Saccharomyces cerevisiae S288C: one gene and its partners. The protein of the gene in region 3 interacts with the protein of the main gene of each other region in a biochemical or structural test. Each region holds a gene or a part of one and is shown on either strand. Other genes may lie near its edges.

Region 1 (4,075 bases), on a different chromosome or scaffold from region 3:
AACCGCTAAACAACCATTTGGATATTTTAAAGGGTAAGTATGGTTTGATGATGTTGTTTGACCAGGAGTTGAATGCCAGCAATTTGATACATGTGTAAATGTCAGAAACAAAAAGGGCGAGTTTTAATCCATTCCACCCAACTACACCTATTATGTAATTTAAAACAGTTTTGAACTTGTGGTTTCGAAATAATTCAATGTTTAAATCGGCGAAAGTCTTAGAATTAATGGAGTACTTCCAATCATGGTTAAACATTTTTGATTTTCTGTTCCTGCTAGTCAAATATTCATGAAATTACCAAAGTGTTTGCTAAACAAACCATAAAGATCTGTTTTAATAATCATCAAGGGCTCTTTTGTTTGAAATGTTAATGTGTCCCTCATGGTCTATTTTCATTTGAAACATCTATTCGAATTTTCTGCAACATTTCTTTTTCTGTCAGACGCGAAATGTCGGCGAAAAGTTGACACGATTCAAGGTTCTATCTAATTTTGGAATGTAAGAGAAATGAATGTACTCAAGATAACGGTAAAGAAACAGTTATAAGAAGGCTAAAGGGCTAATCTTTTGTCGAATTGATTACCATGTTCCTGATTTCATACATATAGGATTTTCTCTTGCTATTGACCGTACTTTCATCCATGATTGTTTCCTCATCAACACTGATAATGGTCTCATCTCGGGGTATAAACCATGAGGCTAACTTTTTACACCACCTGTTCTCCTCGTGGTAAAATTTTTCCAATGCTCTTGAACTCAAATGGAAAGTAGAGCTTATTTCTGGAGTTTCTGTTGTACCGTTAAGTGTCCTCATTGAATGGTATTTACGGAGTCTTGCTTGAGCAGCCGTACTTTGATAAACGCCATCATTGTCATTTGAAACAAATGGCGTATTAACTTGGCTTTTGGAACGCAAAAATGGTGAGGAGCTACGTTTTTTCATACTTTTGCCAACTGGTGGTAAGTTTATCTCAGGAATGCCTGCAAAAGGGTCTGCTTCTTCCTCTGAAACACTAACCCATCTTAAATTTTGTTCATCTAAAATCATGTTCCCGATGACCTTTTGATTTCTCGAAGTGGCTCTTGCATGCTGTAGATCAGAATATTTTTGCTTCTTAGAATCTGCATCTCGTTGTAGCTTGTTTTTTATCAATAAAGCTTTCCTGTTTGCCGTGTCTACATCACTAAATTTGCTTAAGACGTTTTCATTTCCTTCCCACTTCATAGTTTTCGGGTTATATATCATAGAACCTTTCTTCATTGGAGTATTATGATCAATTTGCTGTTTTATTGTTTTGATTTTAGCTGGACCATTGAGTTGTACATTTTGATTAGAACAGTGTCTTACTGATCGTTTTTCTTTAAAAGAGTCCAGTTCCTGCTGGGTATTCCAATCTCGTTGTCGCCTATGAAGACCTGGAGTTAATAATTCGTCATGCTTTACTATATCATATTGTGCAGGTGATATTTTTAATGGCAAAGATGAGGATGACTTCTTTAAGAAACGCGGATGGTCGGCACTTTCTTTATCGTTCGAAGAAATCGTTTCATCAATTGCTTCACCCTCTAATTCTTCAAATCCTGTCAGAAAGTCACCTTCATCATCTGAACTGAATTTCGCCAAAATTGTGTCCTGCGTATCGTTATCAATCTTGTAATTAAACTCTCGTTGATCTTCTCTTTCTCGTTCTTCGTCCTCTTCTTCTTCTCTGATAGCTGGATTAACTAAAGCTAAGTTAGGCATAGATTTCTTAAATCTTACAGAATTACCAGACCTTAAGTTTCTTGAAGTGACGCTATTTGATAGTTTTCTTTTTGGTTTCAATTCCATCATTGATCTAGGTTGCTTTAGCCTTGGTTTATCTTCCAAACTCAGTTTTCTATCAAACTCTTCTGCGAAAATGTCGTTTTTGAAAGGGCCAGTTCGACATCCATTTCTCAAATGAAAATTTGTTTTAATAGCATCGTCAAAATCATCCTTTTTATTTTGGAATTCCTGGAAGTCATTTAGAAATTCATCATCCTGGTCTACCTCCATGTCCTGATCATCGTCTGCTTGCTTATTAGACCAAAACGCGCTGGTACTATTGGAAAATACCGTGCCAGTGTCAGAAGTACCTACCGAGGATGGAGGCGGTATATAAGTTGATGTACTCAATGGTGGCACGTTTTCTTCCAAAGTTAATGTTTCATGGGATTGAAAGCGAGGTAGAGTTGTATTCAGTTCTTCAAAAGAGGTTTCTGGCTCATCTAAACCGTTTAACGTGAGAGGCCTAATTGACATAGCATACAAAACTTTCAACTGCTACAAAAGTTTTCGAACTTTTTTCTTTACGTCAAACTTCTCGTTTTTTTCCTTTTATCTGCGCTGAATACATAAGTTTACACTTTTTTTTTTACTATTATTGTTTGTTTATTATTCGCGAGATGCCATAAAATCCCTTCAATAGAAAATAAAGGCAACATTTGACGATCTGAGTATAATAGGAATAAAAACATTAGTCAATTTTCCGTTTTCTATCTAATACACGTTTTATATGTCTTTATTTTATTATATACTGTCACTCTGTCTCCCTATCAACGTAAGTCCAGGCCTCATTGTGGCCTTTTCAGTAACCAAATTGTCTCCGAAAACATCAATTACAGTTAAATTCGGATTTTGCTCACCCAACATTTGAATCACCGAGTCATCAACACAACGTACAAAACCAAGATCAAGATACGTCAGATTAGGACAGGCTAACGCCACAAATGCCTCCTTAGTTAGCTCTTTTAATGAATTGAGATTTAAGCTTCTCAGACTATCTCTTGCTCCGTTAAGCAATAGCTCTATAATTGCCATATCGCCCAATTGTAGACATCTTCTAAAGCTGCATTCAATCAAATTATTCAGTTCTACTTTGCTGAAAAAGTACGACAGTGAATCTGTAGTGATCTGATCTGATTCTTCCAAGCTCAATACCTCCAATGGACATTTCTCAGGAATGAATGCAGTCAGACCATTGATTATCATTGAATCTGTCAAGTCAATACAGCCATTCAAAACCAATTTACGTAACGTGCGCCCGATTTGACCTAGCAGATTTATGATGATCTCATCGTTAACATCCTCTTCATTGAATGGATATTCAATACAGAGACTGTGAAATTCGTCGTTGACTAGGTACTGCGGTAATAAAGCGTAATTTGATATAGAATCTAGTCTGGATAACCCTAAGGATACCAAGGTAGAACCGCAGTTGATCAATAAATTAGATAATGATTTGTCGGTGAAGCGGTGCGTATTAGAAATGTGGAACTCTTCTAATCTACCTTTCATTATTACAAAGAACTTCTCCCATGTGTCCTCGTTGATCAGAAATGGTCCATCTAAATTCAGTGATTTCAAGTTCGGAAGCTTTTCAGCAATGTAAAGCAATGATTCATGGTTCAACTGCCCACACATTTGTAGGGATAATTCGGTTAGGTGTGGCGAAAAAATGGCTAGCGTTTTGTAACCATCAAATGAAATTTTAGAACAATCGCTGAAAGTTAACCTTTTTAGATCTGTCTTCAAGAAAAGTTGCAGAGTATGATCATTCAGGGCCCTATTCTTCGATAGTGCTTTTGCCAAATTATTCAAATTAGCGGTTGATACGCCACCAAGGACATCTCTCAATTTGTTAAATACCAACTTTGATGATTCATCAGCCTCTTTTTGCCACTTGGATATATTTTCACTAATTTTCGTAATACAAAGACTTTGTAAGCTGGATACTTTGTTGACGCGTCTATCCAATAGGTCAGCTGCTCTTTTACGCTTTCTGCGACGATTTTGGATAATTTTTGCAGTATTTTGCCTTTTTTTAGTCAATGATTCCCGGTCATTAGCCGAACTTAAACTGACTGGCGTGTCAGAAATGTGGCTAGTTTCATATTCTTCTTCATCACTATCAGCAGGGACTAATTTCATCCTGGCATCGTAGGAAACCTGAGCTCTTTCTGTCTCGGTACCACTACCTGTTCCAATTTCATCAATTTCTTCATCTTCAACTACTCGAGATATCTCGGCAGTAAAGCTATCATCCTCCGCTT
Region 2 (4,804 bases), on a different chromosome or scaffold from region 3:
TTGGGCAGCTTGATAGGCACTGTCATAGGAAGGTGTGAGAAATATCTCAATTGAAGTCTCCCAATGGAGGATGCAGACGTCTTTAAGCAGAGCGTAGATCTACTGAACATGCTTTATTTATTTTTGTTATTGTAGTTTTCTTGGTTGGTTTTCCAGATACTTCTAATCCTAACACCCAAGAATTTTTGAGGAAAGGAGAGTGAAGTCAATTGTCACCGACAAACCCCCCCCATTTATATAACCGCCGAACTTCCATTTTCATTACAAATTTCTCCTCATTCTGCTTACCTACACCCGCCCCTCATTTTCCATCTCTGTTGGAGTTGGAGAAAAAGATACCTGTGGACGGAAGTCCCGCATCGCTGGATAACAGCCGTACCGTCGCCCGGGCGGGGAATCATACCAGCAAACAAAAATGAGGGGGAAATGACATCATGTGCGGACGGTACTAAAGGATCAAAAGAATGAATGAATGAATTGTTACACAAAACGGTGAAATTGTTACATACATTTACTAATTACATACATTTTTAGTACTGCGTACGGGTATAGTTATGGGGTTACAGATTCGTGGCAGTTGGGGCAGGAGTGTCATCTAACCAGAGGGTCGCCAGGGCGGGACATTGCTGCTGGCAGAGGCCAGCAAGCTGGAGCAACTGCCGGTAATGCAAGCTCGTGCTGGCGCGATCGTGGCGTGGTGTCGTGATTGGGTTATTTCGTAGATCAAGAAATTTTACTGATTGGCGTGGGAGAGTTTTTGTTAACTTGTGTGCGTTTTGTAGGTTGTTGCCTGGCAGATGTAGCTCTTGCAAGAACGGTAGTTCCTTGGAGAGGTCCACTGGTAAGTGTGTGAAGTCTCTAACATTAGCTATAGTTAGAGAATATAAGTTGGTGGATTTTAGAGAAGAGAATCGCGGCAAAGAGGAGGCCAGGCCGCCGTTGATCTCCAGAATTTGCAAAGTGGCAGGCCATTTTTGCCATTTGCTAAGTTGAGCGAAGCCGTCCAGTTTTAGAATCTTTAGATTTTGGTAGGGGAACGTGAATTGATCATCCAACTTGTAATTTTGTAATTTGGATAGCGCGCCTCCTGTATTTTTGATGGAAAGCGCTCTCAACGTTCCGTTCTCCATCTTAGAAGATTCCACGATGGAAACTAGCGGGTTACCATTGAGGTTTAAAACCTTCAGGCGGGGCAAGCAATTGATGTTTCTTACGCCAATTATGTTATTGTTGCTTAGATCTAAGACTTCCACGGTCAACCAGCCGCCCACGACAGAGTTGTTTGTTAGTATCAATTGTTCGAAATCGATGATACCATTAATCTCGTTGTTAGAAAGGTTCAGTTTTTTCATCCTGGAGGATCCTATCCCTTCTAAGGATTGGATGGAGTTGTAAGAAAGGTTCACCTCTTGCAGGTGATGACAAAGTGACAAAAATTTTAAACTTGTATTCAAGAGGTTGTACGATAAGTCGAGGCATTCCAGATCGTGGAATCCGGCTAATGAACAATGTGCGCTCGTTATTTTGTTGTTTGAACAAAATAGCTGTACAACGTTCGAGGGTATACCTTCTAGAGTGTTCATTTCATTGTCACTAAGGTTTAGCACTAATACATTCGGTAGTAGTCTTTGCATGCCAAACATATTCTTCAGTTTGCCCCTTGATAGGTCAACTTTCAGGATTTTTTCCCAATCGGAATCATAGCTTGGAGAACCAGATAGTTTACTAGTCAAGATTGATATTAGCTGCTTTTCAGTTTCGTTGAACGAGGTGTTTACTTCGGAAATGGACGTAATATCTTCAACCCGTTCAGCGGGGAAGGTCTTTAGTTTCTTGTGAGCTTCTAGTAGATTGGAATTAGAGATTGAACGAGAGGTACGCATTTGTCCTTTAACCTTCGCTCTAGTGCCATTTTTCGTAAAAAGGTCATTAAATTTTGGTGTGTCTAGGGGCGTGTCATCGCTATTTGCTAGATTTTCTTCTTCTTGTATTTTCTTTTGGCGGTAGCCAACATCACCTGGTTTGGTACTGGTTAATTCATACGCCTTCTTATCTAGAATTGAAGGTGCCTTACCGTTAGTGTGATTATCTCCAGTTGGTACCATTGTGGCGAACTGGGACTGGTTGGAAGATGTATTGTCCAGAGAATGTGAACTCGACACATCTAAGCCCTGGTTCAGCGGCGGATCCCATGCGCCGTGTGTATGGTTAAACTGATATCCCAATTGACCGGGTGAAATAGTGTTCAATGGAGGTTTCTTGAGAACTTTTGATTTTCTGCCTGATTGAGTTTGAGAGGACGACATGGATGACGATGATGAAAATTCAAAAGAATTGGAAGTGTCCTCTTCGTCCTCCTCCTTCGTTCTAGCGTTATCCTTATTATTAATATTAATACTATTATTATTATTATTATTATTATTATTATTATTGTTTTTGTTGTTGCTATTACTTGGATAAGAACCCACCAAATAATTCGATTTTTGCTTTTGTAATATGCCATCAAATACATCATGTGCCTCAGCTGCTGGGCCAGAATCGCTGTCATCAGAAAACGACGATGAGACCTTCTCAGCGTTAAAGAAATCTTTAGAATGTGAAATACTAATCGTATCATGGTTTTCATGGGTCTGCATAGTAGTAGTTTTATTCTTCATATCTAAATGTCTTTTAAATGTATTTGTTTCAAGAACTCCAGATAAATCCTTAACCAAGTCGCTCACAATGAGATCCGATTCAGGAACTTTGTTTGCAGTACCAACAGCGCCACCAAAGTTGGTACCACCGCCGCTACCAATACCAGGGAAATACTGCTTCCATTGAGCTTCTTGATGAGATGTAGCAGTCGTGCCTGAAAAACCTGACGGCACTTTCTGATGCACCGTGCTATAGTTGTTCAAAACTGTCATTGTAGGAGGTTTTTTGACAGAATCGGATATTGCAGGTTCCACAACTTGGGAAGTAAAATTTGAATCTTGAAAATCGTGGTTACTTTCATATTCCTTAAACACTTTACCACTGTTACTGTGCGCGTTCGAGCGTAGCTTTCGTGGTGAATTTATTGTAAGATTCTCCAGCTGGCTCGATAGTTCTGCCTCCTGCGTATCCATATCCATTTCGGTATGCTTTTACTATTCAACCTAGTCGGCAATTTTTTCACCTGAATATTGTTGAACACTTCTGGCATCCTAGATACTCATCTGTATTTATTCATTATCTGTTGTGCATCGTTAATAGCATTCCAGTAAACAAGTTTAGGTCACTACCCGCATAAGCCTTTTGGCGTTTGGCGTAACCCTCCTCGCGAAAAGAAACGGGACGCAAAAAAAAAAAACAACAAAACAAGAACAAAACAAAACAAATAGGACAGAGCCTTAAGGAGCTGCAAGGATCTTCTGAATATTTGGCATCGGCATTGTGGGTGGAAAAAGTGTCCAAATTGGAATAAATTGGTCAGAATAGAGCATTGATTCCAACTATGGACAGAGATATAAGCTACCAGCAAAATTATACCTCAACTGGGGCAACTGCAACTTCCTCAAGACAGCCCTCTACGGACAATAATGCAGATACAAATTTTTTGAAGGTAATGTCAGAATTCAAATATAATTTTAACAGTCCGTTACCTACAACGACTCAATTCCCCACGCCCTATTCTTCTAATCAGTATCAACAGACTCAAGATCATTTTGCCAATACAGACGCTCACAACAGTTCGAGCAACGAATCGTCGTTGGTAGAGAACAGTATATTACCGCATCATCAGCAGATACAACAGCAACAACAACAACAACAACAACAACAACAACAACAGCAAGCTCTAGGTTCACTTGTACCTCCTGCTGTCACAAGGACAGATACAAGTGAGACTTTGGACGATATCAACGTTCAACCTTCTTCTGTTTTGCAGTTCGGCAACTCTTTACCCAGCGAATTTTTGGTTGCATCCCCAGAGCAATTCAAAGAATTTTTGTTGGACTCTCCGTCCACCAATTTCAATTTCTTTCACAAAACTCCGGCAAAGACACCACTTCGATTTGTAACAGATTCTAACGGTGCTCAGCAAAGCACCACAGAGAACCCAGGTCAACAACAGAATGTTTTTAGCAATGTCGATTTGAACAATCTTTTGAAGAGTAATGGAAAAACACCCTCATCTTCATGCACCGGCGCATTTTCACGCACTCCTCTGAGTAAGATTGACATGAATCTCATGTTCAATCAACCGCTGCCGACATCTCCATCAAAAAGGTTCTCCTCCCTGTCGTTGACACCATATGGAAGAAAAATTCTGAATGACGTCGGTACACCTTATGCAAAAGCATTGATATCGTCTAACAGCGCGTTAGTGGATTTTCAGAAGGCAAGAAAGGATATTACCACTAATGCAACATCCATAGGGCTGGAAAATGCCAACAACATCTTACAGAGAACGCCGCTAAGATCTAACAATAAAAAATTATTTATTAAAACCCCCCAGGATACCATCAATAGCACTAGCACACTAACTAAGGACAACGAAAATAAACAGGACATATACGGCTCTTCACCGACTACCATCCAATTAAATTCATCAATAACTAAATCTATCTCCAAATTGGATAACTCTAGAATTCCCTTGTTAGCTTCGAGATCAGATAACATTCTGGATTCCAATGTGGATGACCAATTGTTTGATTTGGGGTTGACAAGATTACCTTTATCACCAACACCAAATTGTAATTCTTTGCATAGTACAACCACAGGTACATCTGCCTTACAAATTCCTGAGCTACCCAAGATGGGGTCTTTTAGAAGTGATACG
Region 3 (4,228 bases):
TCTAAATTTTTGAGCTTTTAAACTTAGTATTGACGTGCAGCTTCCTGGCAGGCTTTTAGTTGCTGCAAGTAATAATCACATATCTGGAAGTTGCCGTTGTTTTCATCCAAACAACGTGTAAAGTTTCTCGCGTCTATTTCACAAGTTCTTCCCAACTGCTGGTCCGTTTGGGTTTGGCCGGAGGTGTTGGCCATATTTTGCTGTTGTTGCTCAACAGGAGCGGAATCAGACCCGGATCCGGAAAACATACCGGTAATACCTGCACCTAGGGTGTGTCCAATGGTGCTACCAACGGCAACACCTGCAGCAGTGGAGGCCATCTGCGCAAACATACCTGGCTGTCTCGTTTGGGCACCTGCAGCAGGAGGGTGTGAATAGGCATTTGGTTGTTGTTGTTGTTGTGGATGAACTGGAGCCGCCATGGTAGAAGCGGACCTTGTCTGAGTAGGTCTCGATCTCGATATAGGTCTTGATGATCCTCTTGAACGTGCCATATTTTAGAATTTTGTTGCTGTTGTTGCTTTTCTTGTTCTGTTCTTTGTTCGAAATATTAATCCTTTTTCTTAAAGGTTATAAACTGTACGAGTGATAGGCTTATATAGGTCGCGGAGATTGCGGTGGAGTGAAAAAGCGCTTTTCTTTTATACCTTTGTTCAAGGTGGCGTTTGCCGTATAAAAGCACACATGACATAACCGAACCTCGGAAAATGAAGTTGCACTGTTATTGCCTTCCAGATGTGTAGAATCATCACCATCTTCTGTGATAAATGAAGAGGGAATCGTACGAGGACGCCAGCATATTTTTACATCAAAATTTATGTTATTGTTGAAGGAACATTGAAAAGATAGGGCGGGCAAAATCTGCGATCAAGCCTATCCTCTTTCATCTCAGCTGTTCTAGATGCGTTACCCGGTGGTAACTTCACTGCATATTATTACTTTATATACCTTATTCTATATGTTGCCCGGGTAGGGCATTATGTAGCATCACCCGGAAGAACTTTTGGACTTTTCTCTGTCAAAAGATATTACCTAAAAGGGTCAAAACAAAACAAACCCAATAAAGAAAATCCAAAATATAGAACGAATAAATATCTCGAGGACCTGGGATGATCTTTGAATGTACATCCTTTGAAACAAGGCATATCTTGAACAGTTACTCTTGTGCTACTCAACTTTCGTACAATACATATAGAATCACTGAGAAAGTAAATCCAATTCAAGCGGCAGTTTCAAAGAACAATAAGCCTTTTGTGTCAAATTCTGATTCTGCTTTTTTTCCTATTTTTTCATCCTTCAATTTTGTGGCATATACTACATTAACTTTCAAGAAAACTTAAAAAAGAAAAGACAAAAAAGCTAAACTGCATAGTCAAGTTTGTATAATTGAGCTGAGTATTATTTTTTGTACACAAAAACATTGGCTTTCTTATATCTTCTCTATATATACTCTCTTTCATTCATCGATAAACGTTACATTTGTTATTCATAGAGAATAAAAATCACAGCCGTGGAGAAGAAAGAACAGAGTAAGATCAAGTCGAATAAAGATGTCGTTGGGTCCTCTTAAAGCTATCAATGATAAGCAATTGAATACCCGTTCCAAGTTAGTTCACACCCCAATAAAGGGAAATACCGCAGACCTCGTAGGAAAAGAAAATCACTTTAAACAAACAAAGAGACTAGATCCGAATAATGATCATCACCACCAGCCAGCTCAAAAAAAGAAAAGGGAAAAGTTATCAGCTTTGTGTAAAACACCACCTTCATTAATCAAAACAAGAGGAAAAGACTATCACCGAGGTCATTTTTTAGGTGAAGGTGGATTTGCTCGCTGTTTCCAAATTAAGGACGATTCAGGCGAAATTTTTGCTGCCAAAACAGTTGCTAAAGCCTCAATTAAATCAGAGAAGACAAGAAAAAAGTTGTTGTCGGAGATTCAAATTCATAAAAGTATGTCCCATCCAAATATCGTTCAGTTTATTGATTGTTTTGAGGATGATAGCAATGTCTATATCTTATTGGAGATATGCCCCAACGGTTCATTAATGGAATTACTAAAAAGAAGAAAAGTTTTAACAGAACCAGAAGTTAGATTTTTCACCACTCAAATATGTGGTGCAATTAAGTATATGCATTCAAGAAGAGTTATACATAGAGATTTAAAACTTGGTAACATCTTCTTCGATTCAAACTATAACTTAAAGATTGGTGACTTCGGTCTGGCAGCTGTGTTGGCGAATGAAAGTGAACGTAAATACACCATATGCGGAACACCTAATTACATCGCACCTGAAGTGTTGATGGGTAAGCATTCTGGACATTCATTTGAAGTAGATATTTGGTCATTAGGTGTTATGCTTTATGCTTTGTTGATTGGTAAGCCACCCTTCCAAGCAAGAGATGTAAACACTATTTATGAAAGAATCAAATGTCGTGATTTTTCGTTTCCAAGAGATAAACCAATCTCAGATGAAGGTAAGATTTTAATAAGAGACATTCTATCCTTAGATCCAATAGAAAGGCCCTCTTTGACTGAAATTATGGATTATGTATGGTTTAGGGGAACTTTCCCACCATCTATTCCTTCGACGGTCATGTCAGAAGCACCAAATTTTGAGGATATTCCTGAAGAGCAGTCACTGGTTAACTTCAAAGATTGCATGGAAAAATCTCTACTATTAGAAAGCATGAGCAGCGATAAAATTCAGCGTCAAAAGAGGGATTATATTTCTTCAATTAAATCTAGTATCGATAAACTAGAAGAGTACCACCAAAACAGACCATTTTTACCACATTCTTTATCCCCTGGCGGGACGAAACAGAAATATAAGGAGGTTGTTGATATAGAGGCACAAAGAAGATTAAACGATTTGGCTCGTGAAGCAAGGATACGTAGAGCACAACAGGCCGTTTTGAGAAAAGAATTAATAGCTACATCGACCAATGTCATTAAATCAGAAATCTCCTTGAGAATATTAGCCAGTGAGTGTCATCTTACTTTGAATGGCATTGTAGAAGCAGAAGCTCAGTATAAAATGGGAGGTCTTCCGAAATCAAGATTGCCTAAAATTAAACACCCAATGATAGTTACCAAGTGGGTCGACTACTCCAACAAACACGGATTCTCCTATCAGTTATCAACAGAGGATATTGGTGTCTTATTTAATAATGGCACCACAGTTCTCCGATTGGCAGATGCAGAAGAGTTTTGGTATATTAGTTATGACGATCGGGAAGGTTGGGTAGCAAGTCATTATTTATTGAGCGAAAAACCACGAGAGCTAAGTAGACATTTAGAAGTAGTTGATTTTTTTGCCAAGTACATGAAGGCAAATTTGAGCCGAGTATCTACGTTTGGCAGAGAAGAATATCATAAAGATGATGTATTTTTGAGAAGATACACAAGGTATAAACCATTTGTTATGTTTGAACTAAGTGATGGTACTTTCCAGTTCAATTTCAAAGATCATCATAAAATGGCAATATCCGACGGAGGTAAATTGGTGACCTACATTTCTCCCTCCCATGAAAGCACCACATATCCCTTAGTTGAAGTACTAAAATATGGCGAGATCCCAGGATATCCAGAAAGTAACTTTAGAGAGAAACTAACTTTGATAAAGGAAGGTTTGAAGCAGAAGTCCACAATTGTTACCGTAGATTAAACCAATATTAAAGTAGAAAGAAATACGAATACGAAATTACCAGTCCATTGATTGGGCCCCATTAATAACTAATACTAAATAAAATAAATGGTCTTGCCCTTAACGAAGATAATATATAATATTTACCCCTAGCATTAATACCCTTTTTCTAAAGGTACGAAATGAACAAACATCTTTCATGTTAGTTCTTCCTTTTCAATAGTTCTCATATAGCGTTTTTTTTCGCCTGAGCGGTTCTAGAGCTATATCTATTCAAAATTGCCATGCTTTTGTATTCATATTGTATGTATGGGATGATAACCTGTCGCTTCCTGAGATTTTCTCAAAAATATTGTTTTGAACCTAGATTTCTTTTTAATTATTCTTACAGGTGCCCATTGGAAGAGTGACAACATTAATTTTGAAAGCTATTCACTTGGTACATCCGCGGTTTACCAATTTTTAAGTTTTATCAAAAGCTGGCTTACTTGACATGTATCTACAAACTTAAGAATACTATTATGGGCAGTTATTTGCTAATTCTTTGTTACCTAGTTAAAATCCAAAAAATCCTGATTTAT

What was found. The genes of interacting proteins can lie anywhere in the genome.
Region 1: of the proteins of CDC5 (region 3) and BFA1, one has a biochemical effect on the other in vitro, tested with the Saccharomyces cerevisiae proteins (7 studies listed by BioGRID).
Region 2: of the proteins of CDC5 (region 3) and NUD1, one has a biochemical effect on the other in vitro, tested with the Saccharomyces cerevisiae proteins (3 studies listed by BioGRID, with this or other methods).

What each region holds. Positions count from the first base shown.
Region 1 is NC_001142.9:532,237-536,311, reverse strand, and holds BFA1 (Bfa1p), read right to left. Parts: upstream 2,286-4,075; coding exon 561-2,285; downstream 1-560. Other genes in the region: KCH1 (Kch1p), read right to left, coding at 1-256; UV-damaged DNA-binding protein RAD7, read right to left, coding at 2,553-4,075. UniProt on the Saccharomyces cerevisiae protein: Part of a checkpoint which monitors spindle integrity and prevents premature exit from mitosis. This cell-cycle arrest depends upon inhibition of the G-protein TEM1 by the BFA1/BUB2 complex.
Region 2 is NC_001147.6:1,035,146-1,039,949, reverse strand, and holds NUD1 (Nud1p), read right to left. Parts: upstream 3,117-4,804; coding exon 561-3,116; downstream 1-560. Other genes in the region: aldehyde dehydrogenase (NADP(+)) ALD4, read right to left, coding at 1-110; NDD1 (Ndd1p), read left to right, coding at 3,479-4,804. UniProt on the Saccharomyces cerevisiae protein: Involved in astral microtubule organization by binding SCP72 to the outer plaque in a cell-cycle dependent manner. Required for the mitotic exit by facilitating the binding of TEMP1 to CDC15.
Region 3 is NC_001145.3:268,459-272,686, reverse strand, and holds CDC5 (polo kinase CDC5), read left to right. Parts: upstream 1-1,550; coding exon 1,551-3,668; downstream 3,669-4,228. Other genes in the region: MIX17 (Mix17p), read right to left, coding at 24-494; YMR001C-A (uncharacterized protein), read left to right, coding at 1,110-1,340. UniProt on the Saccharomyces cerevisiae protein: Protein kinase required for the cell cycle where it is involved in mitotic exit. A component of the fear (CDC14 early anaphase release) network which promotes CDC14 release from the nucleolus during early anaphase. Phosphorylates SCC1/MCD1 and NET1.